Linked DNA regions of Daphnia pulex. Each later gene encodes a partner of the first gene's protein in a complex. Links are inferred from orthologs where the notes say so. Each region holds a gene or a part of one and is shown on either strand. Other genes may lie near its edges.

The links.
Region 2: neuroblastoma-amplified sequence-like (region 1) and RAD50-interacting protein 1-like share a complex: the UniProt entries of both Homo sapiens proteins name them as parts of the NRZ complex. The link is inferred for Daphnia pulex from reciprocal best matches to the Homo sapiens genes NBAS and RINT1.

The regions. Positions count from the first base shown.
Region 1 is NC_060028.1:6,564,189-6,579,644, forward strand, and holds the start of neuroblastoma-amplified sequence-like, read left to right. Parts: upstream 1-6,574; 5' UTR 6,575-6,830; coding exon 6,831-6,917; intron 6,918-6,991; coding exon 6,992-7,077; intron 7,078-7,146; coding exon 7,147-8,409; intron 8,410-8,468; coding exon 8,469-8,596; intron 8,597-8,674; coding exon 8,675-9,599; intron 9,600-9,664; coding exon 9,665-10,730; intron 10,731-10,803; coding exon 10,804-13,805; intron 13,806-13,980; coding exon 13,981-14,110; intron 14,111-14,250; coding exon 14,251-14,397; intron 14,398-15,456. UniProt on the Homo sapiens protein: Involved in Golgi-to-endoplasmic reticulum (ER) retrograde transport; the function is proposed to depend on its association in the NRZ complex which is believed to play a role in SNARE assembly at the ER. Required for normal embryonic development.
Region 2 is NC_060023.1:2,164,110-2,179,685, forward strand, and holds RAD50-interacting protein 1-like, read right to left. Parts: upstream 7,360-15,576; 5' UTR 7,266-7,359; coding exon 7,125-7,265; intron 7,061-7,124; coding exon 6,819-7,060; intron 6,749-6,818; coding exon 6,575-6,748; intron 6,513-6,574; coding exon 6,366-6,512; intron 6,302-6,365; coding exon 5,832-6,301; intron 5,766-5,831; coding exon 5,410-5,765; intron 5,343-5,409; coding exon 5,210-5,342; intron 5,142-5,209; coding exon 5,021-5,141; intron 4,961-5,020; coding exon 4,905-4,960; intron 4,831-4,904; coding exon 4,721-4,830; intron 4,656-4,720; coding exon 4,522-4,655; intron 4,459-4,521; coding exon 4,248-4,458; 3' UTR 4,187-4,247; downstream 1-4,186. Other genes in the region: hydroxylysine kinase-like, read right to left, coding at 2,186-2,374, 2,436-2,653, 2,720-2,933, 3,008-3,150, 3,210-3,284, 3,351-3,483, 3,563-3,721; uncharacterized protein LOC124197333, read right to left, coding at 7,699-7,902, 7,966-8,081, 8,144-8,501, 8,568-8,719, 8,784-8,841; nose resistant to fluoxetine protein 6-like, read left to right, coding at 10,050-10,383, 10,457-10,994, 11,066-11,354, 11,409-11,572, 11,639-11,798, 11,869-12,062, 12,136-12,271, 12,348-12,543 and 2 more; nose resistant to fluoxetine protein 6-like, read left to right, coding at 13,968-14,334, 14,403-14,931, 14,998-15,295, 15,366-15,529. UniProt on the Homo sapiens protein: Involved in regulation of membrane traffic between the Golgi and the endoplasmic reticulum (ER); the function is proposed to depend on its association in the NRZ complex which is believed to play a role in SNARE assembly at the ER.

The DNA.
Region 1 (15,456 bases):
CGTTAAAATTTTGTAAACAAATTGCCTCTTAGTGAAGCCGTCATCCATCGCGAGGGGGGAGTCATAAATTATGAATGACTTGAATATCTTGGAGATTCGGCTGTCGGTAAGCTTGAAAACCACGGTATAGTAGTTCTAAGGTAGGCGGACTCCATTCTCGGAAAAATTTTCACACATCCTCCTTTATGGATCTTCTGATTAAGCCTGCCTACTTTTTAGAACTATTATACCATCCATTAACTTTAAAAAATTATTTTTAGATTTGGTAGTATCTACTTATCTTTTTGACAAATCTGAAGCGTCAACCCAATCGCATTTGTAAAGATTTCACTCGGCTATTACGTTTAACGAATCTTTCGGCGTTTTAGCTGTGAAATTCTGGAAAAGTTCCTTCCTGGAGTGCACTCAACCAAACAACTAAACCAAATCAACGAATTCGTACTGAACCAAATAAATAAAGGAGTCCCATCCATTCGCAAGCAGAGTAAGAAAGAAGAGATGCAAGAAGTTAGGGGACAGCGATGAATTTTCCAACTTCTCTTGTTAAAAAAAACTATTGTGAATTGTGAACTTTGAAATCTTTTAAGTTAACAATTTTAACTTTTCATAAATTAACAAACAGTCGTACCTTTTTAAACAAGCAAAGTTTTAAAATTTATCCGTCGTGTAACACATTTACCCCATTTCACCTCACTCCCCCCCCCCCCCACATAAAATTGATATCCAGAATTTCAAGGGGAAATGTAAAATAATTATAATCTTTCAGTTTTTTTTTAGATTGAAAGGTACCACCGTGAATCTGAATGCAACGGCAGAATCGCTCCTGGTGCCAGGTGTTCTTGCCGACCTATTTGAATCTGTGGGAGGTGCCATCTACAAAAACTCGGGCTTTTCCAGGAAAGCTGTTCTGAAATCATACACCCTATTTCTCGTTCATGCATATGGTTACGACCCTGTGGCGCACCAGCGCCAGATGAAGAGAATCAGGAGCCCTGATTTTATTTAGTTATTCGTTGGTATAATTGCTCTAAGGTAGGCGGACTTCATCAGAAGTTCCCTATAGGATTCATTTTGAGATAAGAGTCCGCCTACCTTAGAATTATTATACCGTAGTTTACTTAATGCTTACCGACAATTGAATCCCCAAGGAATTCAGAGCGTTCGTAGTTTATGATACCGCCCACGCGATGTATTACGCTTTCGCTAAGAAGCCATTTGTTGACGAAACTGTGGCGTAGAATTCTTTCAAACCCTTTGATTTCTGTAAGTATAAGTCCCCCTCTTAAACGATCCAATCTGTATTTGGAGGTCGGTGGTGGCTTGTAGAGGTATATAGGCTCCAAAGCTCTTCTCTAAAATAAAAATAAAGAAAACAAAAATTAAATACAGGAAAAAGTGTTAGGGGAGGCAAGAAGAACAGTGCCCAGTGATAGTTAAAATAAAAAATATTTTGAAAATCTGCTTTTATTTATTCATACATGTTTTTTTTTTATTGAAAAGAAAACAGAAATTAAATACAGGAAAAAGTGTTAGGGGAGGAAAGAAAAACAGTGCCACATTGATAGTTAAAATAAAAAATATTTTGAAAATCTGCTTTTATTTATTCATACATGTTTTTTTTTTTATTGCAGGCCATCAAATGTACATATTTGGTTGATGAACTCACGAATGAACAACGGGTGACGTAACTACGGGACAAAGGAATACCGCGGGGTGCTAACACTGTAAAATTGGTGGGCCAAGGGAAAGGACCCAGATAGCACACTGCAGTCCCATAGACGCACAAAACACGTCACTTTGAGACGTCTGAGATGTACTTGGCACATAGCAGATTCCCAAGTTTACATTCCTAGGACGTCTTTTACGTATGGCCAATGTCCGCTTCGCCGAGATCTCATAGCGGTCCTTATCCCGTCCCATTGGATGGACTTTAGACGTACTTGGGACGGAAAAAGGATCTCAAGAAGTCATTAATAATAAATCTTTTTCTGGACTCTGAATTTATTTCCTTTTTTCTTTACTCTTCTTTTTCTTATGAGTGTTTGCTGTGCCGACATTTTTTCACGAACGCTGATCCGGATATCCGGACACAGTTTATTTGTCAGAGTATGTAAAGGGTTACCAGGCACACATTTTAAATTGCCCGCATAGGAACAGAAGAATTGAAGAAATAATGGAATCTGAACCGGGGATCGAACCCGGAACGTCGTGGTGAGAAGCCAGTACTATACAGATGGGCCACGAAATCATGTATTAACTATGAATATAAAGCTAATAATAAGATTTTAGAATCAAACTTTGCCGCGAAAAGACAAAGACAGTTTCTCCGAAATTTTCTAAGTGTCGAGAAGGAGCCAAAAAATAAAAACGGGACGCATCAGAGACTTCTACGAGAGGGAGTAAAAAATGACGTATCCGACAAGATGAAAATGAGTAACGTGTTCAAATAAGGGCTCGCAATGGGACATATTAGAGATTCCCCTGTGCCCACCGCACCATCCGCACGGCTTTGGTCCCGCCTTGGGACAAGAATTCCTATCTGGGGAGGCATCTAGGGGACTCCAATTTGTCAAGATATCGCTCGGCAATGACTTGCAATGATTCATTTGGCGTTTTTGCTGTGAAATTCGGCTTTACAAGTTCCTGCGTGGAATGCCAACTGAACCACAGAAACAATTCAACGAATTTTCTGAGAACCAACTAAAGGAGGGACATCCATTTCCAGCAGAGTAAGGGAGAAGAGATGAAAGAAACTCTGCTTATGAATTAGGAGAAAATATAAACTAATTTTCTTTCAGTTTTTTTTTTTTTTGACTAAAAGCAACTCCTGAGAATGGTAATGCGATAACCGAATGTCTCCTGGTGCCCAGTGTTTTAGCCGATCTATTCGAAGAAGTGGCTGGTGCCATTTACAAAGATTCAGGATATTCCAGGAAAGCAGTGGTGAAATCATTTACCCCTTTTATTTAACAGGCTTACGGTAACAAATAAAAATTTTATTCCCAGCGTTGGCGCCCACTCCCAATTCTCTTTATCCGGGACTGGTGGACCACAAACCAAATGCAAAAAAAAACTTTTCATAAAAAATGTTTTCTATTCTAGATAATTTTGCACTCCCAGCCGATGAGATTCTACTCGAACTGAAGCCATTGATGAAATCCATGAAAAAAAACAATTTTTTTATGTTTTTGCATGCTATTTGTATCATTTAAAATTAATTGATTTTATATTTAGAATTTACTCCCTCGAAAATGGACCACTTTCGTCCACAATATCGATTTATAAAAAGATTACATAGGAGCTGCCACTTCGAAAAGGAACGGAAAACTGCCGGCCTATAAGTTGGCTGTTGGCAGTTAGCGAACTTGCTGTGTAACGCTAAAAAGCGACCAAATTTTCAACGTTTTATTGATGTTACCCGTTTCATAACAACAAATTCGCCATTATTTTCCAAATTGTTCTTGAAAAAGTGTTTTCTTGTTTGTACCTAATTGACTATACGAAGAATATACACAGTCTTATTTGTCGAGATTCCGCTCAGCTATTACCTACAATGACTCTTTCTGCGTTTTGGCTGTTTAATATTGCTTATACAAGTTCCTGTATGGAATGTAGTTATAAGCCATGATGTGGATAGGACATATTAGATATAATGCGAATCCTGATGACAGTGTGGATATATGGCAAGGGCACAAGGCCCGGCGTGGATACAAGTATTAGGGTAGACAAGAGATCAGGTTACGTGTGGATATAGGGTACGGTGTGAGTCCTTAAATAATTGTGGCCACAGGTGTAATTATGGATCATGTAGCTGGGACCACGGCTTGGACAGGATGTAATGTTGCCAAGTCCCGGCGTGAAAAAAATACATGGCGTAGATTTCGTGGTTGGATAAGAGAAAACTGTGTGGCCATCAATCATGTTGTTGTACCTAAGTTTGGATTTAAGTTAGGATAAGGATACAATCCATTGCGTGGATTTAGATAATGGTGTGAATAAAAGCAATGAAGTGGAAATAAGCCGTAGATGGGACACAATATAAGTCAGCTTGGGAGAGAAGGTTAGATAACAAAAACATTAACCCCGAGTTTAATTTACGAGAAAATTCTTTTATATTTTAACATCTTATTTACATTCGCTTTATCAATAATAAGGATTTAAGTTTGGATTTAAGTTAGGGTAAGGATACAATCCATTGCGTGGATTTAGATCATGGTGTGGATAAAAGCAATGAAGTGGAAATAAGCCGTAGATGGGACACAATACAAGTCAGCTTGGGAGAGAAGGTTAGATAACAAAAACATTGACCCCGAGTTTAATTTATGAGAAATTGCTTTTATTTTTTAACATCTTGTTTACATTTGCTTTATCAATAATTTTTTTAAATAATTAATAATATTTTGCTTACAAATTCGGGTGTAGAAAAAAAAAGTTTTATGTGACACCCTTTTCCGTGTGAATAGAGCCCTCACAACAGTGTTGCACGATTTGTTTAATTCAATCGTGCAACACTGTAGTGGGGGCTTTATTCATAGGGAAAAGGGTGTCACATAAAACTTTTTTAGTAAGCAAAATTAAGTAAAAATTCAAGGGACACGGGTAAGGGCTATATAAAATTATAGTATAAAATCTAAAAATCCATATGAATTACATATACCCGAAAATGCGTGTGTGTGAAGCACGTAATCAGTAGGAAAACGGGGAACGACTAATTGCCTTGTTAACCCGTACGGCCTGACCCCTACCGGCATGCAGAAGCATCGCTTCAGGGGGGTTATAGGGGAGTTCAGTCTTTCCTTCGTAGTCTATGTGGAAACGTTAAAAAGAGCCATCTAGGCTCTCAAAAGTAGCTGAGCTTAGTAGCTGACACACTCACTAGAGGCGCTTTTTAAAGTTTCGGAAATTTTAAAAATTTTAAATTTTCCAAATCTGCTTAGGGCATGGACTACTCTAATTAAGGACGGGACTCTTCGCCTATCTCGCCGTGTTAAAGCTAGTCGGGTGGGCTATTTTCATGAGAAAATAAATAAAAAATATCAATAAATTCAGTTTTTTTCGCTTATTCTAACTATGTATATAAATCTTAGTGAAATAAACTAATCAATAAGATATTGTAATTTTACTTTCGGCAGTAAGGGTAAAAGTGGGAAACACCGGTGCCCTCTAGCAACAAAGCACCCTAATCTCTTGCCAATATAACCTACAAGGTAAAGGAGAGATAGGCAGCTATTTCAGAGGAATTACCCGAAGGGTTACTGGTCAAAGTTTCGTTTGCAGTATGGTTTACATTGGTATGGTTTTTACATTGGTATGGTTTTTACATGGGCACCCTCAGTTCTCGTAACACTACACAGATGGCTTTTTGCAGTTCTCGTAACACTACACAGATGGCTTTTTGCAGTTATCGTAACACTATATAGATGGATGCACTAGTTTTTGGCAATTATTGATTGCAATCAACAATTTAATTGCATTTCAATGGGAGTAATCGGTAGCTTACAACTTTTTACATCTATTTTGAAAATTTGGCTGCAATCGATTGAGGCGTTTGATCAAACGGAGTTCTTGTTACTTTTTGACAGAATTTCAATAGCTGTTACAGCAGACGATAATACAGAGACATGTGACAGCTGACAGGGATATAAACGTAACGTGACAATCGACTTGAAGCCCGTATGATAAAATAAAATTGATAGTCAAAGTAGTAGTACTGTGTTCTCTGTCGGTTCTAGTTCAAAACGAGTGTTATTATTTCGTAATCACTAACTATAGCGACAATAGCTGTTGGAGTAATATTTTACGATAGAATATAAATAACTGTATGTTATCATTTAAACGCTATCAATCTCCAGTAAAAGAAGTGCTGATAGGTAGTTACTTACATTTAATTTTAACAAGATCCGGTGTGACGTGGGGTGGCGGGGCGAAGCCTCCGCCACACCAAAGTCACGCCTTACCCTTACGCCGCGCCATATCATATTAAGTTTTTTGGAGTTGAATTTTTATTTAATGTTTGGATAGAAACATGCGGAAATATGCTTTTCATCTCTTTCTCGATTTCTGCATATTAAATTTCTCCGGAAACTAAGGGCATAACATTTTTGTTTTAAATATTATTAATTAATCTTAATAATAGGCCTACCTTTATAACAGAATATTATTATTATTCTATAACTATTCTATAGCTCTGCCTTTATAAAACTATACCAATACAGCAATACTATTACTATACCAACTAGTATACCCTTAACATTCCCTTCGGGTACCTTGCGGCGTACGTACGCTGCCTACAGTAGAGATAAGAGAGTGGTCTCTCTTATATACGCAATGGGTATCTGCTTTTAAACTTACAAGAGCTTACGAGGTTTGGTTCCTAGATGGCACCGGTGTTTCCCACTATTTCAATTTTCCAATAAAGAATATCAAAATATCTCTATAAAGATAAATTTTAGGTATAGGAACATTAGGTAATTAAATATTAATTTTCTAATTCCGATTCCGATTCTCCCGAAAAAAAATTTACAGGGCCGACATTGGAAATGCCGAAGAGTCCCGTCCTTAATTAGAGTAGTCCATGCTCTTACTCGGCTTTGTATCGGCAACACTGCTTAAAAAGTAGTTCGTGACTTCGTGTCTTCGTGAGTTTTGTCGGCTGCTATGTTTCCTCTTATGTCTTGTCACTGTTGTCAGTATTTTTTGCTTGCTAGCTACAGCCGTATATACCTGCGTTCTTGTTTACTTCTAAAGATTAACCGAACCGGCTAACCACTATGGCAAATTGAATAAAGATTCATACTTCACAAGCAAGAAAAGTAATTTGTTTCGCTGAAATGGATGAAATCGCTGACAGTTTAGAAGATAGCATTCTTTATGAACTGCTCGTTTTCTCAGAATGGTCACAGGAGCAAGATGTCATTGTAGGTTTATTATGTTCATATTAAATTTTATTTTTCTAACTCACTTTATTATTATTATTTTTTGTTATCTTCAGAATAAAATTGTTGATGAATCTTATTTGAGTTGGAGAAGTATCCTAAAATACTTAAAAAAGAGTTCTGGTGCTTATTATGTTGCTGAGTAAGTAGTTTCTGCTTTCATCCACACATGATAAATGCAGTAAAACTATATAAATTTTCATCTTTGCAGTTGGTTAAACCAGCAACTACCATGGCTGTTCGCGGTTGGTTCTAATGGTAAAGCAGTTGCTATCCTTCAAGATAGTGCTTTGGAAATCCGAACCTCCAGAGATAATTATTCTGTACCAATTGGAAAAAATTTTGTCTCCAAAGATCAATTCCCGCAATGGAGAAAGTTACAGTGGAGCCCCGATGGAACCCTGTTGGCCGTGGCACACAGTAGTGGATCAATTGATGTTTACGACTTGCTGGCAACACATCTGTTTGTCATTCCTCCTCCCAAAGAAACTATTTTGCAAGGCTCCTCAAATGAAGTCCCAGCCAATGTGATAGCAGGGCTGGCATTTGTTGACACCAGAACCAAAAATGCTCACTGGTCGTACGAACTCATATGTTTGGATCACTTTGGCCAACTAAGTGCTTTTTTTGTATCACCTACCCAAGGCTTTAAGGAGAGTCACACGTTTTCGTTTGCGTCACACGTGCCTTATGGTGTAACGGCGTTCTGTGCAGATCAGTCGCGTAATTTATTGGTTTTAGCCTCCCCAGTTATTACGTCGTGTGAGCCTAACAATTCTGGAAACAATCAAGGAGTAACCGGAGCCAAATACGGTTTAACATCATGGAGAATAATTGATGAACTCCCTTTCTACATTCAAGCGCCTATTGAGACAAATCCGTTACCGAATTTATGGTTACAGTCATTAAAGAAGAAACAATATGGAAACACTGTTGTTAAACTAAGTTCTTCGGCGGATGGTTCTTCTCTAGCAGCTATTCATCTTTCCGGAGCTATTTCAGTTTGGTCGATTCCTGCCTTGAATTGTCAACAGTTCTGGCCACTGGATCGCCAGCCGGGCTTTGATGAACTAAATCCTGGGATTCTTCAACTACCCGCTCATCGCCGTGTACGCAGCCCTACTTTCCAAAATCCATTTAAATTCCATCCTGTTGATGTTAATTGGTGGTCAGCAAATTCACTGGTCATAGCCCGTTGCTCAGGAGCCGTTTCTGTGTGCGCTGCAGCGGATCTTCGAAACAAACTTGGCTCTTCGGCAGAATTCTTTGAAGGTTCTCCGCGTATCAGTCCAGCATTTGACAGTACTTTCTTAGGCCTGGAATGTGAAGTGAAAGTAAAGCGGAAACGACTTCAGCCAACTACCGACGATACAGCAGTATCTGATTATGCCGACTATGAATTCGAAGACGATCCGAGCGGAGATGAAGAGAAAACATTCATGGCCCAAAGAGCCGTGCGCTCACTCCTTTATTGGTTTGTCTAATATGACCATTTATTTTACACCTCGTAATAATCTTTTATGTTTTTCGCAGGGTTACGGACAGTGAGCGTTTCCGACCACCCAGGAAACGCCCTAAACTCCTCACAAGGACGTATCGTCTTTTAGGTTTTAAGCGAACAACTCCGGATGAGCTCTACATATGGAAATTAGACGCTGAAGGTTAATTTCCGAGTTTTAAATAAAATTTATCGTTTTAACATTGAATGAGAATCTAAAAGATATATTTTATTTGTGTAGAATATGGCGAAGCCTTGGCCCTGGCTCGAGTATATGGTCTAGATTGCGATCTGGTGTATCAAAGACAATGGAGAAATGCACCTGCTACTATTGCAACCATCCACGATTATCTGAGCAAAGTGACCAAACGCAACTGGGTACTTCGTGAATGTCTAGAACGTGTTCCCAGCGATGTGGATGCAGCCCGCGAACTCCTACTGTATGGATTGAAAAACACTGATCTAGCCGTAGTTGTGGACATAGAGGAAGGAGGTCGTAATAAGCCACCTTGGGGTCCGATTGAGTTCCAAGAAACGGAATCTGAAATGTTGAAAAAAGAAGAAGAGCAAAGAAGAAAGTGGCTGGCACAGATCGATTTTGATAATTTGACAGTGCAGCAAAAAATGCTGATATCAACACGACGTCGTTTGCTACAGTTTCTCGATCGATTGTCCATCTACGAGATGATCTTGGGGGGACCTCATGCCGCAGGGCAGCGCTTTGACCCATCTTTTTTCGAAACTTTTCGGTCTCAAACAGCATTGGAATCGACTGTAGGTTTTGCCCGGCAGGGTGAATGGCAAGCCGTCGCCGTTATGTTCACTTTCAATGGACCCCAAACGCTACCTCACCGATTGGCCGTCTGTTCTTGCTTCCCTGAAACCGTTCCGCCTTTTGAATACCGCTCCGTTTTACCAGAATGTGATGTCGGCGAGGAAGTTTTCTTATGGGAGCAACAGGAACTACGAAAGTCAGATTGGTGTGAATGCCCAGCCGCTCGGATGGCTGTTGATGTGGATCGTCAGTTGGAGATAGAAACCGTTGATCAATTCTACAGTGAAGAAGCCAAACAATTAAAACCTTTCTTCTCTATGGGAATTGTACTAACTACCGACCTTGTTAGTCTATGGTATCGAACACGAGCTGCGGACATCGAAAAACAAAGGTTTGTTTTATTTAATTTTAATAAATACTGATAATATTGATGACAACGTTTGTTATATTTGACAGCATGTTGGTGGAGAACGCGTTGGATTTCATCAAACTTGGCCTAGAAAGAAACGTGCCTCACTTGGAACGCATCCATCATCAGTTATTGACGCTGGAAACACTTGTCTACGACCTCCAGCAAGAACACCTCAACTTGGAAAGGCTCGACGCCATGAGCGAGCTGAGCGTTTGTCAACTAATCATGGGTGGCTGTGATGTTGATTCTTTTTTACCGAAACTTCATCGTTGGTTGATGCCTTATTTACGTCGCCTGGATACTCTACAGCCTGGTCGTATCAAGGAGCTATTACGCGGCCTACTCGTAGTCAGGAGTCAAGAAAATCTGGACTGGGCACTGCAGGTTTGTGCCAATTCGAAGACGGATCAGGCCAGCCCGATTGTCGTCGACGCAAGTTTCTTGATATCGCTAGCTCTGGAATGCATCTACGCCTGCCAGAAGAACGACCAACTTGAAGTGGCCATGAAAATTTACGATTGCTTACCTGAGCGACCAACTGGCTCCAAAGCAGATCCGCTACTAACCCATCTACACGATCAGTTGGATCAGCTCCAATCTCATTTAGAGGCAGCTGACATTCTCGAAAATCACGACGTGGCCATAACACCTGCGACTATATTGGCCAAGCAGAACGATGTGGAGCAGCTTGAACAACTTTTCGTCCGTTTGACCAGGACGGCTTTAAGAAAGGGCGATCCATCGACCGAAAATCGATGGAAAGAATTGTTGGAAGATATGCTGGAGTTGCAGCGTAAAGTCTTCTGTTGTATCAGCCCCCAACTGTGCTACGAAATTCTCGTTGGTAGCTTACTTTCTTCGGCTAAAAAGGAGAACATCGTTTCTGCTGGTTTGATGCTGCAGCTTCATCCAAATATCGATTCCCACACATCACAGAATCACATCAGTTCAACGTCGAAAATTCCATTTGGCCGAAGCAAAGAATTAATTCTCCAAGCAGCTGAAGAGTACATTAATTCTTCTGAAAACCTTTCGGATCCCAGCTTAGACTTAGCGAGCTATTGTCTCAATTTAGTGACAATTGACGACGAAACTATTCAAGAAGAAAAGGTGTTAATTTGTCATTTCTTGTTTTATCAAGTGTGACTTATGTCTTATGATTATTATTTTTTTTTCGCCCTAGGATCTAATTGGCGCTATTCAGCTTCTGTACGATTATGGATTGGATATGCCACCGCTCAAGATAAGGTTGTCGCGAAATCGCCTTTTTCTCATTGATCAAGTTTTGAAACAAGCTAACAAAGCTTACAAGAACTCGTCTAGACTCCTCCGACTTGGACATCTACTCAGAGCTTGCAAAGGAAGTTCGTTAACTAATAATGAAGATCGTCGAAAAGAACTAGAAGGGCATATATATGTCCGAATTGCTGAAACGGCAATCATAAAACAAGATCTTGAAGTAGCTGGCCAAATGTGTGGAAAACTTCGTTTAGCCAATCATGCAGTCGGATGGAAGGTCTGCAGCCAACTAGCCAAGCTTGATGAAGTGACCGATTTGAGTATGAGGATAGAATTCATCTCCTTCTCTTTAGTCTATTGCCCAGCTGAATGCATCGAAGAATTGCTACAATTGCAATGGAAGTTGGAACAAAAACAACTTGAACAGGAATGCAAAAAACAAATTAAAATGTACATGGATTACGAAAACGGCAATGATAATTTCTTGAAGTTGGTGTATCCAAAATCAGTCGAAGACTATCGTCAAGAGATGGATAAAAATAATCAGATTCCAACTACCACAACTACCAGTGGTGGAAGCGTGTCGAAGCAGGTGTTGCAGACAACTGCGGAAACGACAAAGCAATTGGTGAATGTCGTCAAGAGCAGCTTGAAACTAAAAGAAGCTCGGCCAGCAGAAAATGGAGCAAGAAAAACGCCCACCCCTAGAACATCAGAAGATAATAAAGAATGCATCCGTTGGGGCTTATCCGTGTTCTATTGGGACGTCTGGTGCAACAAAAGGATAGAACTTCACGAGAGTCAATTGGGTGCTTCCTATCGGCTTTTTTCTCTGCCCGAGATGGTCAATAGTGAACTTAATCTTCTCATGTGGTCCTGGCGAATGCTGGTGCTGGACAGCCTGGAAAAACCTTACGTCAAAAGCCGTTCAAGAGACGACATATTATCCAAGTTAGCCGAATGTCTATTTCCTTCTGATTGTTTGCTGGCCTTGGGCCATCTATTGGATCTAGAGGCGACCGAAGAAGCATGGGAGCCTTTAACGCGTTTACCCAGCACAGAGATCACTCTGCAGATGGCTGCCTATTATTTCTCTCTACGCATGATGCGTTTCTCTCAGGACGAATCCTTGGGTGCTGATGCCAACATGGTCACCGCCCGTCCGCGCACTCTGATCCATCGTTGCCTGACCCTTCCCGAGACAGGTTTGTCGAAAGATCAGGTTGTGTGCCGCAACCTTCTTAAACGAGCTCTACGACTTCTAGCCGATGTGTCTGAAGCGCAGCAACTACGTCGATTGGACGGAGGAGTCGATATTAATCGATTCACGACGGACGATATCTACAAGCGAGATACAATTGTAGGTCTTGCCATCACAACTGATTCCGGCGTCTATTCAGCAGCCGTACGCTTGGCAGCACATTATGGCGTTTCTGAATGGGAAGTGACATTTTCTCATCTGGCAGCTGTGTTCGCTGAAGAGAAGATTGCTCCAAGCTATATCGTGAAACACATGGACGAATACCGCATACGCGACATCTTATTCAATGACCCACAAACACTCGGGGCGAAGATGGTGGACGTAATCTATCCGAGTATTTCGGGTCGAGATTATGGTCGGCTAGTCCTTTTCTTCCAGTTACTCAATTCGAACCCAACGACTGCTGCATTCACGGAGCCCCCCGCTCCTGTATACGTTCAAATTCTGCGTAAGCTGGAATCGATTAAGGGTGTTGACGTGAAAAAGCTGACGCGATCCGTTCAAGGTTTTGTGCAAGAGATTGAGAGCGTCGCCACTGCGGAAAACGTTGGCAAACTAGCCAAGCTCGCACAACTGATATCGTCTTCGGTCAAAGGAATGTCGCCGGGCGTAAGCCAGGCTACCGTGCATTCAATCTGGATTCGGAAATATTTTTTCGCGTTGGCCGATGAAGGCAAAAGTGTGGCGGTCTCCGATTGGCTTGATCGATTTGAAAGTTGCAAGACTCACGTCACCAAGCTAAATTCAGAAGAGTTCTTAAACCTTGTCGATGGCCTTTGCTTCTCCGATCGTGCCTTGGACTTGCTGACGCTTGATATCCGGACAGAAATTTGTCGTCGATGTCTGAAAATCGCCAAAGAGCGCGGCAAAAGCAAAGCTTCCAGCGACGCTCTAGTCTCGGACGACTACCAGGCCCGCATGGAAAAGTGGGCGGAGCATTTGGAACGTTTGAGGAGTGACGAGTACATCCAGATCCGCACGGAAGTTGTCTCATCAGCAGGAAGTCAATTTTGGAGGGAGTTTGAAAAGAGTCGGGCGGAAGAGACCGCCTTGCATCGGGTGCTGTTACGGATTCTGGTGGAGAGGCAGCCCTTGTCCGTCGTTCGACTACTCATTGGCATTTTCCCGCCGGATTTTGGTTCATCGCCGGAAGACGTTCTTGTTGATGCCATTCGCTACGTCCTGGAATTCCTCCGCCGATCCGTCGAAGTTGACAAAGGCGAACACGAGTTGGCCGGCAAAGATGCAATGCAGGTGTTACTACATCTGTTGACTCAGGTCGGTGAAGTTCTGGATGGCCATGAAGAGACTGGTCTCCTCAGTCGCTTGGATATTGGTGAAATGATGAGCCAGTTTTACGAGGACGACACAATTGACGTTCAGGTCCGCCTCCAACTTATGTTGATGCTGCAAACACTTCCGGTAGACTTTGTCGGTCTATCTGAATCCGGAAGCCGTGTTCAATGGCTCCGCTCTTTGGCACTGATCCAACAGTCTTGGACATCAAACCAAGACGATACAGCTGATCCCCAAAATGTTATCCACCGTCTGAGAGAAGAGGACCTGAGGAGCGTCGAGCAACGCCGAAATATTTTCGATCGGCTCTTGGAGATGAGCCACACCATCGCTCATTTGACGTCGCTGGCCAAGTTGCTCAATTTCTGGCCGCCGTTTGCATCTGAAAGGTGCGTTAATATTCAAGCTACCGCATCGATTTTTCTTCTTTTCCCGTCAGTTTTCCTGGTTTTTGTATAACAATAGATAATCCATATGTTTGGTTCAGATCATCTGCTCACCTGCCCTTTAGCCCTTGACAATAATCTCATGACAGAGTCTTTTTTTTTGGTAAACATTGTTCAGTGATCCGCATTCTACTCCGTGGGTTGTACTTTGGACGGCGATGAGAAAGCTGACGTCCTCCCTGGACGACGCATCCGTATTGGAATCCCTAAAGCTTGCCTTGGAACAGAAACCGCCCTTGTCTGACGAAGTAAGTGAGCAGTCTGTTTTGTTTGTTTTCTTTTTACTATCTCATCTGAAGAGTACGGGGAGGAGCGAGGACCTGGGGGAATCGTTTGGAAAGACTGGTTGAGATGGCCCAGTTTCTGATGTTTGATATCTCCATTTCAGTGCATCCACCTCATTTACCAGACTGTGAGGAGCTTGCCTTCAGACGACGCCAATTCCAACATCCGTCTCCGCCTGCACGTCGCACTCCGGTCTTCTCTGCCGTTTTTGCTGGATGATGTCATAAATTTTGTGGACTCGGCCCAAGAGGTATTACAACATTTTTCAAAATGTAGAATAATGAAGTCGGAGAAGAACGAAAAGAAAGATGTTAAGAATATATGAATAAGGCCCATCCACACAAGTAGCCAATAGATGGTGGCCTCGGTTTTAATTGGCATTATTTCTCACGTTCTACGAAATTCACCGAGTCTCGAAAGCCATCCTTAAGAACTTTTTTTTTCCCGTTGTTCCCCCCGAATATTCTTTTGTGTTATTAAAGTGTGCTGAGTTTACGAATGAGATAGTATAGGAGCGGACGTGCAGACTGGTCTTACGACACCACTCCCCAGGCGCTTCAGGGCAAACAAAAGGCAAACGCGTTAAACAAGCAATTTGTGTGCTCGATCTCCGGAAAGTTGTGCCGTTAGACGGAGGCGTTCACGACGACCAAGCACAACTACGAAATCTGATCCAACAAAGTACAGCTCTCCCCACCCTTCTTCTCCCCGCAACCGCTATTGTCTTTCTTCTTCTTCTCTTTCTCCTTCTCTCATTTCACTATTTGACAAGGGAAGGGAATCTGGCGCAGTCCCGGAGAATGAAGGTATCCAAATTCCAAACGGCCAAACGTCATCTCTTAATGGATGTAAAATAGATGCATCCATACTTCAGAGCCGTTTCCGTCTCTTATTTGCCTGTTCTTTCTCCTTTTTTTCCCATCCTTTTGGGTGTTTTGTTTTATGCTTTTTTTCCCACTGTAAGTCTTTGTCGTGTCTCTTGTACCGTGAAATGAGAGCTCAGCTCACCAGCGGCGTGTTATTTTTTTTGTTTGTTTTTTTTTTCAACTGAAGGACGGAAATCCCCCTGTGAAAGCGGGAAGCGGGAAAAAAATTAAAGGCTCTTGTATTTTTTTGTATTTTTCCCAAGTTTCTTCTCATCCTTCTCGTCTCCTTGTCGTCAGAAGACGTTTTCTCATGTTTTTGGGGACGTTCTCTCTTTCAGAGTTGTAGTAGACAGTTTGACAAAGAGCCACCACCTCATTGTACCTCCTCTGCCATGTTGAGAAATGAACACCTTGTTCACATGTAGTTGGGAAGAGGATCGAAT
Region 2 (15,576 bases), on another chromosome or scaffold:
GCATGTCACGTGGCCCCTGGTTTATTAGATGGAAGACGCGTAGTTCCAACTTTTATTGCTTCAGTGTCAACTATACTATTCATGTGATGGTCAGATAATTCCGGCCATCTGTTTATCCTAATCAATTGCAATTTAACATGAGTTTAGCTTAAGGGGACCATAAAATAAAATCTATTATACCTACCGAGGGCTTAAAGTATCCGAAATTGGTTGAAAAACAAGCTTAATCCATGGCTAAATCATTCACAGTCAGCGGTCAGCCCATGCCCCATAGCACAGCAGACAACGAAGTGGAACTCTGGAACGTGCCTTAGTCCGGTTCCGTTTGGTGGCGCGTCATACGCTAAAAACTTCGTTTATGTTAAGAAATTATCACGATAACTCGACTAAATAAATAATTAATTAAAAGAATGCAAAAGTTTTTTTTATTATTTATTTATGTGTATCAGCAACTGACAGAACAGTATTGAACCACAAGGGCAATGAAAAACAAAAGACATTCGGAACTGCGATCAAGAACAACATACTATTCATTTTCAATCCAAAAAAACGATCCTTTCGTTTTAAACGTCTTCGCTGTAATGCGACTGAAAGGTATGAGAAGCATCCACTTCGTAGTTGAATCTGAAATTCGAAGACATCGATGCCATTGGCGTGGGGGGAAAGTGCCCAGTCATTTGATTTGAGCAGTTTGGCTCGACCGATTGCGTTCCGGAAGAAGTCCGCTGAATAAATTCATTCCATTTCTTTTCAGTCGCCTGTGTCGCCAAAAGTGCCAAGAACTGTTGCTGACTTGGCTCAGCAAAATCAGCTCGGGGATTATTGACATCCATCCATAATTTCCGTTGATTATCCCAGATGACATGGGGAGGTTTGTAATAATTCTGCGGTTTTTGTACAGGATTATTCGGCATATTTTGCGGAGGCTTGCTGTTATTGTTCAACGGATGGACACCGGACTTCTTTGGATGACTCATGTCGGGTTTGGAGGGAATCCTGACTGAAGTGACATTTGGTTGATTTGCGTAATTGTCGTCCCAAGACCGATGATCATTCTTAATCTCGTCCGGAATGTCGGCTGATGAGCAAAAAGGGAGTGTTACTCTTTTCAAACGATCATTCTTAACAATGCGATAGGGATTAAATGATTCTTTATTAACTGACGCCTCCATTTGGATTTTCTCCTTTTGGATTTGGTTGAGCTGCTTCCAAAGCTCACGATTATTCTGCCAAGATGTTTGTATCCGGTCTTCCAGCTGTTGGATTCTAGCAGCGATTTGTGGACAAGCGTTACACCTACTGGGTTCCGCACTGGGAATAGGTGGCTCCGGATCATAATATGACGGCAGATATTGAAAATACGGAGTTTGGTCGTTTGGGTTTTGTTCGTAGTACTGCTGACCGTTTTGTGGCGGCTGTTGGTGCTGCTTCGGCTCCTCGTACGTCCAGTTCAGTTGGTATGCATTCATCTCATTCGTATTCTGGTTCTGATATGCGTACATATCAGAATGACGTGATTGGTCGTTGTTGGGGTATTGCAATGGCGCTTGCTGTTGCCTCTTAACGAATGTAGAAGGACTGGGTTCCTTCTTCAAAAAGACTGATGACAAAAAATCCAGGAAACCCATTTTTCAGCTAGCTGCTTCTTTGACTTATTCAACTCAGAGAAATGTTGTAAATCTAGTGGTCGACCTTGCAACTTATATAGGCCCGGCAATCTCGGGCTGCGATGGCAAAAGCCAAAGGACACTTTTTTTATCATTTTATTTAATTACAATTAATGTAACGTAATTCAATATTATTTAGTCACTCGCATAAATGTTTTTCGAACATTGTTCAATAGTTTTTATGCTACTTTTCGTTTGAATCGTTGAAAAAATTGTAAATATTATTTGGGACTAAACCGGCGTTTTGAAAATGGATCATGTAGTCTGTCTGTCTGTTCTGAAACTCGTCCTAGGTCCAAGTATAGTAACATTAAAATGTAGAATATTCTTTCCGTTGGAAAATTTAAGTCGTTAAATAAAGTTGGCACAAATTAATTTTAATTAATTTTAATTTAAAAAAAATTGGAACTTTTACTTTCTTTTAATTTTCTCTTTTATTGGATATGTCTAAGTTGCTTTAAGTCAGGAACTTTCAACGCTTTCACAAACTTCCAAAGTGTTTGTATAAAATTGCGAGATTAATTATTAGCATAACTATTTATAATTTCGTTCCATCGTTTGTAAAGTTCACCTTTCGGACAATCCCAGAGCGTCTTGAGACATTGCCAACCTCTTTGCGCCGTAGTTAAAAGATAGGGATCCGGATTTTGGGAATAAGAGTAAGCGCCTAAAACCAGAGACTGACTAAATCTGGCTGAAATGCAATCCTATAAAGAAACCAATTTGTTAGCATTTACTGATTTTCTAAAAATGTTGAGAGCCAAATACCTTTAACAAGTCAAATTCCTTTTGCGGGATCGGGCGAACGCGATTGTAACCCGCCAAGACATGGCCTGGCGCATCCAACATGTCCATTGATTTACACTCGATCATCATGTAACAAATAGCAATAGCGATATCAAAAAGGTAATAGCCAAAATGTACATCTCCAAAATCCAGCATGCCGGATATAGAATATTTTTCCGGATCCTCTTTATCTGCTTCCACTGCAAAGTAAGAAATAATTAAATCCAGCGCTTTTCGAATACGCAGATTTCTCTTTAATAAATTACCCAGTATATTTTGTTCGTTGAAATCTCCATGAATCGGGCCACTCTCAAGCTCTTGTAGAAATGGAATAACATTGGACTTGAAATTCTCAATGACTTCCATCGACAGTGAATGTTTTTGTTCGTCTGCAATCACATAAACAAAGTCTACAAGCTTTGGAACGGCAATCAAATTCCATATGCGATCAACTCCTTTGAGACCATCATGTTTGAATCCCTGTAAAGAATTAGTGACATTTCCTTGTATAGTTTTAATATAGATGAAATAAGTAAATATATCAAATTAAATACCATCAAAGCGAGATCTGTTTTAGCCACCAACTCTCCGACTTGAAAAAACAATTCCTTTGTATAAGGAACGCTAAACAAAATTTTACCGGGCACAAAGGACAGAAGCCGCACGATATATTGATCCGTAGACTGATTCTGTGCATCTGTGAGACGAATAATAGCATTTGTATAAATTCTCATGTAACTCCATCAATAGTATTACCTTTCAAATGCTCCAACGACATGCTCTTTCCGTCAATATTTTTCACCGGTCTTGGACAAGGCAACCCCGTCTTAGCTAAACAAAACATTCATTGAAATAAATAAACTCTGAATGTCTACTAAAGAAAACAGGTTAACATACCCAAATAAAGCATCATTTCATTCTGTGCGTCAATCAAGTTGTACGCTTTAGAATCAAGGGAATTCAGGACTTTCAAAACATATCCGTGAGGGCATGCATCGTGAATATCAGGCAAGGCACTGTCACTTTTAACCTAAATGAAAGAAAACTTTAAATGCTTTAAGTTATTTTTATATAAAACCTAGAGAGCTAAAAAATGGACTAAACATTACCGTGACGTGGAAGTTTTTATCGTCGTAACTATTCAATTCTTTTACTGAAGCCACTTCAAGATTGTACAATTTAAAAACAAGTTGATGAACCACTTCATTTGGAACGTGAGGTTTTATCTGTTGACCGGGTTTGAGTAGGATTTCACCTTCCTTTTCCATTGCGAATGTGTCGACGACGAAAATTACTTTTTTGAAAAACAGTCACTAGGCAACAAAATTTTAGAAACAAATAGTAACAACTGAAAAACAACAACTAAATGAAACTAAAGTGGTACTGCGATAAAAAAAAGGGCGATAATCGGTGTGTCCGAACCTTGAGAAAACTTTAGATTTTGACCGAGAGCCCACTCTGCATGTTAGACACTTCACCATTCAAATGTAAAATTATCTTACGATTGGACCGATAAGGCCCTACCCCTCCGTCAAATTTTCAAGGACTTCGATCAGTTGGAACTGCCTCCAGCACCGTACTCAGGTTGCTGGGCTCTCGCGCACTAGGACTACTAACGCACTTTATACCGGCCTTGAACATCTCCCACGACGCAAAATTCCAACAATAGAATTGATTTTGCCCCTTTTCACCGCTTTTTTCCCGCTATAATCACAACTCACAGTGGCCGTCTCTACCCAGCAGTCTAAAACATTCATTAGACTTGTATTAACATCCCAATTTGTAAAACCTCCTTTACAAAATTCTCCGACGGAGAACGCTCAAAGAATCTTCAACGGATAATTTTTTAATTCCTTGGTCTTTCAGCGCTTGTTTGCCGTTGAATGTGGCCCGATTTGATTTGACAGATGTGCTTTCACTATCCTGTATAGCTACGGAGAGAGTATCCAGTAACAAAAGAGTGATGGGACGCGGAAGCCGCAATAATGTGCATGCATCTTTAAGCCTGTTATCAAAATAAAATACAATTAAGAAGTTATGCAAAGTAATATAACGGACAGACACGTACTCTTTAAAGTAAATCTCCGGTTTTGTGGTGTATTGCCCAAAAAGCGGTATCAGATTCTGCTGGATGTCGAAGCAAAGTTGAGAAGCGCCTCCTTCATTAAACTGCCGCTGTAGGATCAGCTCTTCCAAGAGGAACTAGAATTAATGTTTGATTCGTTAAAATTTCTGATTGAATAAAAACAGGCACAGTCATTTCATACGTCGTTCACTTGAGAGGCCAATTTCTGCCACGCTTCGACAAACATAGTAGATGCCAGGGAATCCTTAAGCCACAACAAGCCAATCGCTACTGCCTGGAGCATTGCAGATCCTATTTATTATAGAACAAAGACGTCAAATAATAAAACGGATTATCAAATAAAAACTACGAATCTAAATACTGACCTGTTGGCGATAGGCTGGGTTGAATGAATTCATCCGGATTGGGGAGTGATGCCCACCTACCGGACAATTCCATTTTTTATAATAAGGCAATTCAAAAAATTATTTCAATTACTTACTTGTCAAGTCTGTAGGGTTGCGATTTGGCTTTCACTTCGAGCATCACCGCCTCTACCAGACGGCGCAGCAAATCTTCCTGCATTCTCTTTAAAAGCTCAATGATGCTGTCAAATACCGATCCTGTTGATGATCAAATTCGGAATAATGTTTTGTTCGGAAAAATAATATTGAAAAGACTATTTGTTTACCTTCTTCGTCTCGATTAGTATGAGCTTGAGTACGAAGCCAAGGAAGCGAGGCCTCATCATTGCTAATAGCTTCTGCAGCTAAACGTTCAATATTTTCCGTCTGGACTTTATAACTATGCAGTTGAACGAAGAACTTGCATCACAAAAGAGAAACATAAACGATTATTATACGATAATTCATAATTTGGATAAATTATTACCGGCAAATCAGTCCAGTCATCTAGAACATTAATAACAGCCGTCAGCGTGTTCAGGATAGGGCTGATATTGGGCGATGATCGATTGGCGAATAATTCGTGAAATTTGTCTTGACGGGCTAACTGTAGCAACCGAATACGGAACTCGTCCAGCAGTTCAAGCTGTAAATCCAAAAACTGCAACTTATGACCGGGTTGGGGTAAGATCTTGTAACGATCCGTAATGGCCAGCAGCATTTGGAGAAATCCTTCGCCACACTCAGTTAATCGAACTTCGTCTTCTGCCTCGGAATTGTCTCCAGAGACGCAAGTCCAGGCTTTATCGCTAATCAAAAGGATGTCCATTTTTTCTACGGCGACTATGAATGAAACAGAATGATTGAAGTTTAAGTAGAATGCGAGGAAATTCTCATTAGTCAACTTACAAGCTCTTTCTAAGGCAATCCATCGAGTAAAAAACTGGGGCTGAGAGAGAACAAGTAAAGCTGACGGCTGTGAGGATGGGTAGTTGTAAGAGGATCGAAGTTCACTCTCAAAGCTGAGTACTTCACCGATAGTGTGTGCCAAAATGGTTTCATCCTCAAGGATAACCGGTGTGTCCTTTACTAGTTTCTCGACAGCAAGTTGAACGAGTCCTCGTGAAAAATCCGTTAAAGCATCATTAGGTGCATACAAGGGTTGAACGTTTGTTTCGAGGAATTTAGCGTGATCTCCAATCCACTGAAGAATCTGGCGCATATACCACTCGGGTTTGTCACGACGGTTGGTTGGTCGATTACCACCAAAATGATATAAAAATCTTTTCAATAGAGGATATATTAATTCTTGGATGGCTAGGCTGGAAGGAGTAAATCTAGACAAAATCACATGATCTGCCACACTTGGATCTTCCAACCTGAAAGAAATAAAGAATTCAAAATGTATCCGCAAACTTGTACTTGGGCCAGTGTAGAACTGACTGTTTGGATGGGATTTCCAGTTTGCCAAGGCACTGAAATTGTAACTGAAACTTGCTCATCACATCAGGTGGAGGGACAGTTTTTAAAACCTCCTGGTTCGTTGAAATCAAAGGCCACTGTATCAGTTTAAGAGTATCTTGCATTTCCCTGTTTTTCAAAAGAACATTTTTTAACGTGTATAATAAATCTTTAATTGAAATGGGCTATACTTTTTTAGTTTTTCCTTGATCATCTCAAACCAGAAAATTACAGTATCATTAACAAACTTTTTTAGATTTTCACACTGAGATGTTTCCAGCATGCAGTTGTGTTGTACGAGTTTGTTGTACAACTCAACAGCTTCCAAATCTAGGTTAGACTGTAAACTCTGTCGGATTTTCTCACTAATATCATAAGTGATGAAACATGATTAATACTTTATGATGGGGTTTATATGTTTATTAAATTGAATACCTTAGATCTTCCACAGTTTTGATGCATTTCAGGTAGGAATATTCCAGTTCAAGTCTTTCTATTTCTTGTAGTTGACTGCTGAAATTTCCTAGAAATGTGTCGACAGATGTTAAGTGTGATTGGGCTTCAACTTTCAAGTCCAAGTATTGTTTTTCAAGAGTCACTAGTTTTTTTGAGAGCTCTTCAACCTCCCTCAAGGTGTTTTGAACTTTTGTTGGAGCTTCTGTGCTAACTAATGAAAGCTGAAAATAGATAAATATTAGATAAATAGATGTTGGAAAAACAGGTGAAGCAAGATTATTTTACTTTCTCTTTCAGATCATTTTGTATGGTTTTGGTTTCATCATACAGTTCTTTGAGTTTGTGAAGTTGTTTTAAATCTGATCCAATTTCTTCATTGAGTGCTTTTACAATTTTTCTTTGCAAATCCGGGTTTTCCTCCGTCATCTCAATAAATATGTGTAATTTATTAAGTTTGTTTACACAACTTGTTTGCTGCTCACTGGCTGCCACAGCCACACTACAATTTGCTATTGAAAACTGTCTGCTTGTTTATGTGTCAGAATAAATCGCGAGGTTGCAAGATAAATTGAACACAACTCATTAACTCATAATTCATAGTCATAAGCAGAGAATAAGCGGAAATCCATGAAAATCCAGTAGCTGATGAAAATTATGAATAATTATGCTTTTTACTCTCTTACTTTGTCATAACTTATGATCGAGCGAGACGAGACTGAAAGTCCGAAACAATCACTCTACCAAAACACTTTTCGATAATAGAATGAATTCAAATTTAGTGTATTTAAAAATCATTTAAATTTACCGTAATAACCGTATCATACAGTTTGAAAATGAAAAATGTAGCAACAATTACAGTCTAGTTTTCTTCTATATCCTTTGTTGAAATTGAGGTGCGCCCTAAATTAACGATGTTTTCAAAAAACGGGTTTAAAGGGTACGTGAGAATTCCCTTGTCCAATGAATAGTTAAAAAACTCGAGGAGGTTGTCTGATCGTAAGGTTACTTTAAGGTCGCACTTAAGTTTCGAAGTCGTCCGGGTACCGGAGAACTTGGACGAAGACTAAGCAATAGAAAATAAAAAATTAGGCGTGAACTGGATCTAGAAAGAGAAACAAAATTTTACCGAAACAGTGAATTTGGTTATGACAGGATCCTTCTCAGGATAGAAATGCTCAGAATAGTATTCATCTTTTCTTTTCTTCCATGGTCTATCTTCATCTTCTATGTCTTCTTTTAAATCTGCAATCAAACAACAAGAATTATGTCTCAAAAAATTGGCTTCCAGAATAATGACAAATTACCCGAATGAGATTCTTTCATCTCGACGTCTGCATCGATTGGATGTGTAGTTTTGACAGGTCTTCTACAGATCTTTCCTTTGCTAATCTTGTTTAAATGCAGTTGTCTTAGGGAACGGAAATCATTGCCTTCAAGAGGAAGTATTCTCAATCGAGTTGCTCCATACACTTTGATCAGGGTGTCGGCGATCATATCAGGGATGGATTTTTTAATGCAATAGAAAACAGTTTCATTTGGAAAAACCACAAAATAGAATGGGGGCTTAAATCGGGAGTTTGCAAGTTTTTCTTTGGCATTTAGGGCAGACGTATATGTTATTCTACAAAATATAGCACCTTTTTGACCTTGGCACACTATGCACTGCAAATGTAATAATTGCTTGTCAATTTAAACATTAATAGGAAAGGTTATCACTGTTTGTCTTACTGGTAATCGTACTTTGGTTTCCATGACCGAAAGCAGTGATTCTTGTAACTGGGTAGCAGACTCCATATTTTGCATCATATTCTCATCTGCATTAATGATTGCAAATCCCTTCCATTTCTCTCGATCTCTATTCGCTGGTTTCGCTACAAAAGCTAAATTCAAATCATTAGAGCAAGACTGATTCCATTTTAACTTTATTTCTGGACACAAAGATACCTTTAAGCTCTTCTTTTGCAGTTTCTAGTGCTAGTTCTGGAACTCTAACTGGAGCCATATTTTATAAAGTTCGCTCTGAAAACTGTAGCGTTTAACGAGGAATTCTAATTTTGAATATAAATCACTGAAAGCAAGTTAGCTTTTTGCCTTTTTGGAGATTCAGGTGTACAGAGAGACAGCAGAGATCTAGCGGCAACTACAACGCCAAGAAATTTTGAAAGGAGAGGAAAAGAAGATGGGCCAACCTTTAAAGAAGCCAGTTCTTTCCCGCAGCCTCGCGGACCGCCGGTGGCGGTTGCCCGGTTCAAATCTTTGAGAAAATTCAAATGTCAATACTCAATACAAACTGTATCCAGATAACTTGTAGAAGATCGTGGAAGATAAAATAATTAGTAAGATTAATAAGTAGATTTTAAAATCCAGTGGAAAATACTCGCCCTTTAGATTACAGTAAAAAGTTTGAGACACTCGGCCACAAAATAAAGTATATGGGAAATTAATCAATACATCAATCAATTATTTATTTACACCATTACCCGTTAGAGACCGGTTGCGTCACTCCCTCTTTTGCTGGTTATTATGAATTTCCGTGCATACTAAGTGATGGAACAAGCTACAAAAAAAGAACGCGCTTGCAGCGCTGTCACGAAAATGAATGTATTTATTATTTGCTTCCTCATGGCCGTCATCACAGCTGACATGTTTTCTTTTTCTGTTTGCTTATTACCTAATATTATGTATAGAAAACCCAAAGCTCCAGCTGGGTGTATAACATAGTCACTCTCAAGTTACACTGGAGCACTTGGTATTTTATATACTTGCGGTTCGTGGCACACCTTGGAAATTGGGAAATAGTGTTAAATGTTCATCTCTATATTGATTTCCATATCTACTCTATATAGATATTTCCTTGTCTTAACTTAACTTGCTAATGTGTGTGTTTATTTAACGAGACTCGACGCAATCAACGGAACAAACGTTTGACCGTCGATAAAAAGTTGGAAAAAAGTTGATCATCTTTCATCCAATTCTTAGCAAAATAATTCGTTCGTTGCACAAAACTCTGTCACAAGCAACAGCTAGCTAGTAACCACAAAGGAAGTGATTACCAGACACCGAAGATCAACCGGAAACAAATGTTTATCAGCGTCTGCGTTTCGATACATAAACAAAAGCTTATTTTGGTCTCAACTCAGTCAGTAGACAGCGGTCAAGCGTTGGTAATCCAAAAAGGTTGAGCGGGCCGTTCAAATCGATTACGGGAATATGCATTTCCCAATTTTTTTAGTGTTATTAGTCGGTTTTGGAAAAACGACTTCTTCCTTAATTAACAACCGAGAATTACATCACAATTCTTCAGTCTCGTCAGACGGAATTCCACAGGAAAAAATTAATAAGAACCAACAACGTGATGGAAAGTCGATCGCCACCAACATCATCACTCAAGCCATCATCGCGTTACTCGCTCGTGAGCAACACAACATCACCAAGTCGTCCAACTTCCCGACCCTTGTGGCCACCAATATCAGCGAGCAGTGCCACAAGGACAGTGTCACCTATCACCAAGCCTATCTCCTTAGAGTCGACTGGGCTAAGAAAAGTAATTATAATTCAAATCAAATTCAACATTCACCCGCGAAATGCTTAAAAACCTTATAATTTGATATGTGCAGTGTTTGAATCTACCGGCAAACTCCCGGAAGCCTGGCACGGCAGTGGCAATTTGCACGGTCTAGGACTTTTCGACGAGTGTTTATCGGTAGGATACTGGGCGGAAATGCCATTCCACGGTCAGTATTGTACGGTGTTCTTCGATTCAGCGTTAGTAATGCCATGGGAGCTGGAAGAGACTAGTCCAACCAAGAAAAATTCAGAGAATAATGAGATGCAGCGAAACAATTGGGTGGGGATTCTGCAAGGCTTGGAGTTGCTCTACAACGGCCCGAGATTGAAAGAGCCCAAAATGAGAAGCAGCGATCCCAATTCGAAACATTTAATGGCCCTCGATTATTGCATACCTTCTTCGTGCTCCGCTCAAGACTTCCGCTCGTCTGTCGCCCAATTGGTGGGGAGCAGAGTCATAGGGAACACGACGTACGATGGGAATTTCTACTACACTTCCATGGTCACCATCAACGACGAGAATTATTGCTACACCACAGAGAAGATCCACGCCCCACCCAAGTATAACGGAGCCGATATTACTGTTGTGTAAGTCATAGTATATTTTCAATTAATTTTCAATCATTCATCGATGTAATATCTCTCTAATTGAAATTAAGTGTCGTACTGAGTTTACTTGGATTGGTTGTTCTTTTGGCCACATCGCACGAATTATGGCTGCATTATCAAAATCGTCCTGTCCAGCCGAAGAAAATGGTCGTGAAAGCATTGCATTGTTTCTCCATGCTCACCAACGGCAAGAAATTGTTGTCCACCAAATCGGCCGCCGTCGACAACTTGGCCTGTTTGAATGGAATCAGAGTCCTGTCAACCACCTGGATCGTTCTCTATCACACGTACTATCAAGCAATTATCAATCCCATGTACAACGTTTTTACATTAATTGAGGTAATAAATGAATTCCGTCCGTATTATACATATAATTAAAGTATTATTTCTTAGGATGCACTGACATGGCAACTTCATAGCGTTCTGAACGCCACCGTTTCAGTCGACACGTTTTTCCTGATGAGCGGCCTGCTCGTCACTTATTCCTTGATGCGCCAGCTGGACCGAAACAAAGGCCGTTTTAACGTTGGCTTCTTTTATCTTCATCGATATCTCAGGTCTCTATACATTTTATTGTTTGGTCCATTTTATCCTGGACTAATTGATTTTCCTATTTGACACAGACTGACGCCGGTTTACGCCGTGATATTGGGCTTCATAGCCACACTGTTGGCTTATCTCGGATCAGGACCCAATTGGCAAAATGTCCGGAATCATAGCCTTGTTTGTCGCTCGAGATGGTGGACCAATCTTCTTTACATCAATAACTTTTTGGGAGCTGATGTAATAATGGAGTAACACTTATTTTAAATTTGGCCTGAATGATTTAATATTATTACCTTATCGGTTTTAGTGTATGGGTGAGACCTGGTATTTAGCATGTGATATGCAAATGTTTATACTGAGTCCGCTATTCATCTATCCTCTTTGGCGATGGAGAAAAATTGGCTTGAGCTGGGCCATTTTCAATATAGTAGGAATTCTGTGTGGAACTATTGCCATCTTCATTGTTTGGGATCTTCCAGCTATGAGTTTTTTCACAAGAGAGTATGTTATTTTTACTTTCTTTTCTATTTTTAGGCTGATGATTATACCTAATCAATTTAATTAAACATTATAGGAATGACATGAACAATCCGTATTACTTCTATGGCTATTATGCTTCACTGTGGACTCGTTTTCCTCCATACATTCTTGGAATTTTACTCGGATGGATACTTCACTTGACAAAGAACACGCAGATTAAACTTAAGAAGGTAACTTTTTTAGCGTGAATTTTTAACCATATCATTATTTTTTTTTATAAAACCTTTTTTAATTTTTTAAAATTAGGTTGTGGTGGCTGTTGGCTGGACCCTCACCATCGTGATTGGATTGGCCGTTATTTACGGTATGGTGCCTTATTTGAATGAGTACGAGGTTCCGGAAATGAACGATTTCGTCCGCGTCTCGTACGGATCACTTCACCGCATCGCCTGGGCCTCCTGCGTCGCTTGGATTATTTTCGCTTGCATTCATGGTTACGGAGGTATATATTTAATTATTTAAATACTTTAAAGTCTATTATAGAATAACCTAAAATTATCGAACGTGAAAAAGGATACGTCAACCGCTTTCTATCGTGGAAGATATTTATTCCGTTGGGCCGCTTGACGTATGTCGTCTACCTAGTTCATCAAAACTACTTGCTGGTCTATCACGCTTACATCCGAAAGCCGTATTACTACACCAAGTTCACTCACGCCGAGCACTACTTTGGCATTATCTTGATGGTCTTTCTCATGGCATTCGCCATCTGCCTGGTCGTGGAGGTTCCTCTTTTGAATTTGGAGAAGCTGCTCGTCAATCCCACCAGGACAAGTATGTCATTTGACTTTACCTTTTCAAAGTTCATTTCGTTCATCTGTTTTCCCTTTTGACAATGAAAAACAGAAAAACCTGCGGCAGTCGATATTGAAATTGAGCCAAAGAGGCCGAACGGAGAAGAAGATTGAGTTAAATCTCCACGTTATTCGTTTAAATCACCCGCTAGTTGAAATATTGGTTTTAATGGAACACACACACGTATACATGAATGATTGCAAAAGTATGTAATGTAATGTTGATTCTTGCGTCACGCTATTACAATAGAGATAACATTATTATAGCATATAGTATAATACCGATAGAATCGGTAATGCCTGCATAAATCATAAACATATAAGTGTAAACACTTTTCTTTTCAAGCTGTAGACGATTTTTGATTATTCTGTCCATTGCGTAATAAGGGAAAACGCCTCCTATCATTAGTGCGCATTATAATGAATATTGCAACTTTCACATTGTAAATTAACTAGATTTTGATTGTCACGTTCCGTTCACGTGATCACGTCTCCAGTTAATCATTAGTAAATCAAAAAAAGAACAAGATGAGATTTGAATAATGATAAGTAAAGGTGACCTTTGTTATAAGTGCATTCAGTGGATAACGGTCATTATTAGAGCTTATGATGGCGAAAGGTCGTTTTTTTATTGTCTCAAGTAACAAGTATGTAAATAAGCAGCCTTCGTCTTTGATGTCCATACGTTTTCAAATCATTCTTGCACCATCAAATACAGATAAAACTATTTGTCCGCACATGTCAAATTAATTTTTTATCCTTGTCGATAGCGTTCCCAATTGTTTGGATAAGGCGCGACAATTTCATTTCAAAATTTAAAACGCAAAAAGAGCGGCAACTCTTTGCTCTATAACCTCCAACGGTGTCAATGACGAAACTTTCATCCGGTCACAATAATCACAAACGTAATAGTGTGTGCCTTATCAGGAAGTTCGTTAACGCAACAGCATATAAAACTGATTATTATTGTCCATTATCGAACAGTTGAGCGTGAACCTTTTATACTAGTACACTATAATTAGTATATAGCGCCCTAGTTATTACAGGTTCTTATAGGCGTGAGCTCAACGCCATGTTTTTATTTTTTATTTTAGTTCTTGCCGGGGCCGGCCAAGTGATTTCTTTAACGAGCAATCTAGATCAACTTAGTCGATTTGATTCAATCGAATTAGGTATCTCTCCAGAGGAGCTCGAAAATTTAGAATTGTCAGAAATTGATCCAAGCCTTTATTTAAATCAACAAAATGACGACGACAAGTCCATCGTTAGTAACATTGTTACTAATGCCATCGTCGCCTTCTTTGCGCGGGAACGGCGCAATCTTTCAAAAAGATCCAATTTCCCAACACTTGTGGCCACCAACATCAGCGAGCAATGTTTAAACGACAGCATCGCTTACCACCAAGCCTACCTTCTTCGAGTCGACTGGGCCAAGCAAAGTAAATCTTCTTCAAAATGTTTTTATTTTATTTTATTTTATTAAAATTTTTTCCTACGTATTGCACAGTGTATGAATCGACGGGGAAATTCCCAGAAGCGCTTTATTACAGTGGTAACTTTCACGGGCTAGGACTTTTCGACGAATGTCTAGCCGTCCAGGCCGATTGGACCAACACATCCTTCCAGGGCAAGTACTGCACGGTGTTCTTTGATTCGGACCTGGTAATGCCAGAAGAGTTGGAAGAGGAGAATCCCGTAACAGGAGACGAAATGCAGCGGACAAATTGGGTGGGAATCATACAGGTGTTGGAATGGCTCTACAACGGTCCGAAATTGAAAGAGCCCAAAGTGAGAGACACCGATCTTAACTCAAGATACCTGGCAGCCCTTGATTATTGCATCCCTTCTTCCTGCACCGCTAAAGACTTCCGCTTGTCCATTGCGCAACTGATCGGAAGTAGGGCGATAGATAACACGACTTACAACGACACCAATTACTACACTTCCATGGTGGCCGTCAACGACGATAATTATTGCTACACCGCCGAGCAGATCAAAGCCACTCCGAATTTTGACGGACCCGACATAGCTGTGATGTAATTTACCGCTTAAGTGCTGATTATCTAATTTATTATGTAACCATGGTCTCTCTTATTTTACAGTGTTACATTAAGCATCCTTGGCTTGGTGATTCTTTGTGCTACACTACACGATGTGTGGTTCAGTTATTACCAAATTCAACCCGATCAGCCGAAAAAAGTTGGACTGCCTGTGAAAGCCCTGCGGTGTTTCTCCATGCTAACCAACGGCAAGAAATTGCTGTCAACCAAATCAGCTGCTGTTGACAATCTGTCCTGTTTGAACGGAATGCGAGTGTTGTCCACTACCTGGATCGTTCTTTACCATACGTACTATTTAGCTATTATCAGTCCCATGTACAATCCTTTAGGATTCTTAAAGGTATAACAAGAAATGTAGAGTATAGTAATGAATTAAATAAAGGACCTCTTATGTAACAATTATTTTCTAGGATGCGTTAGAGTGGCAGTTGCACGGCGTTCTCAACGGCACAATTGCAGTTGACACATTTTTCTTGATGAGCGGCCTGCTCGTCACTTATTCCTTGATGCGTGAACTGGACCGGAATAAAGGCCGATTCAATGTCGCCCTCTTTTATCTCCATCGCTTCCTTAGGTGGATCATCAGGAGTGATTTTTAAAGCAGAACTTGTAACAATAATC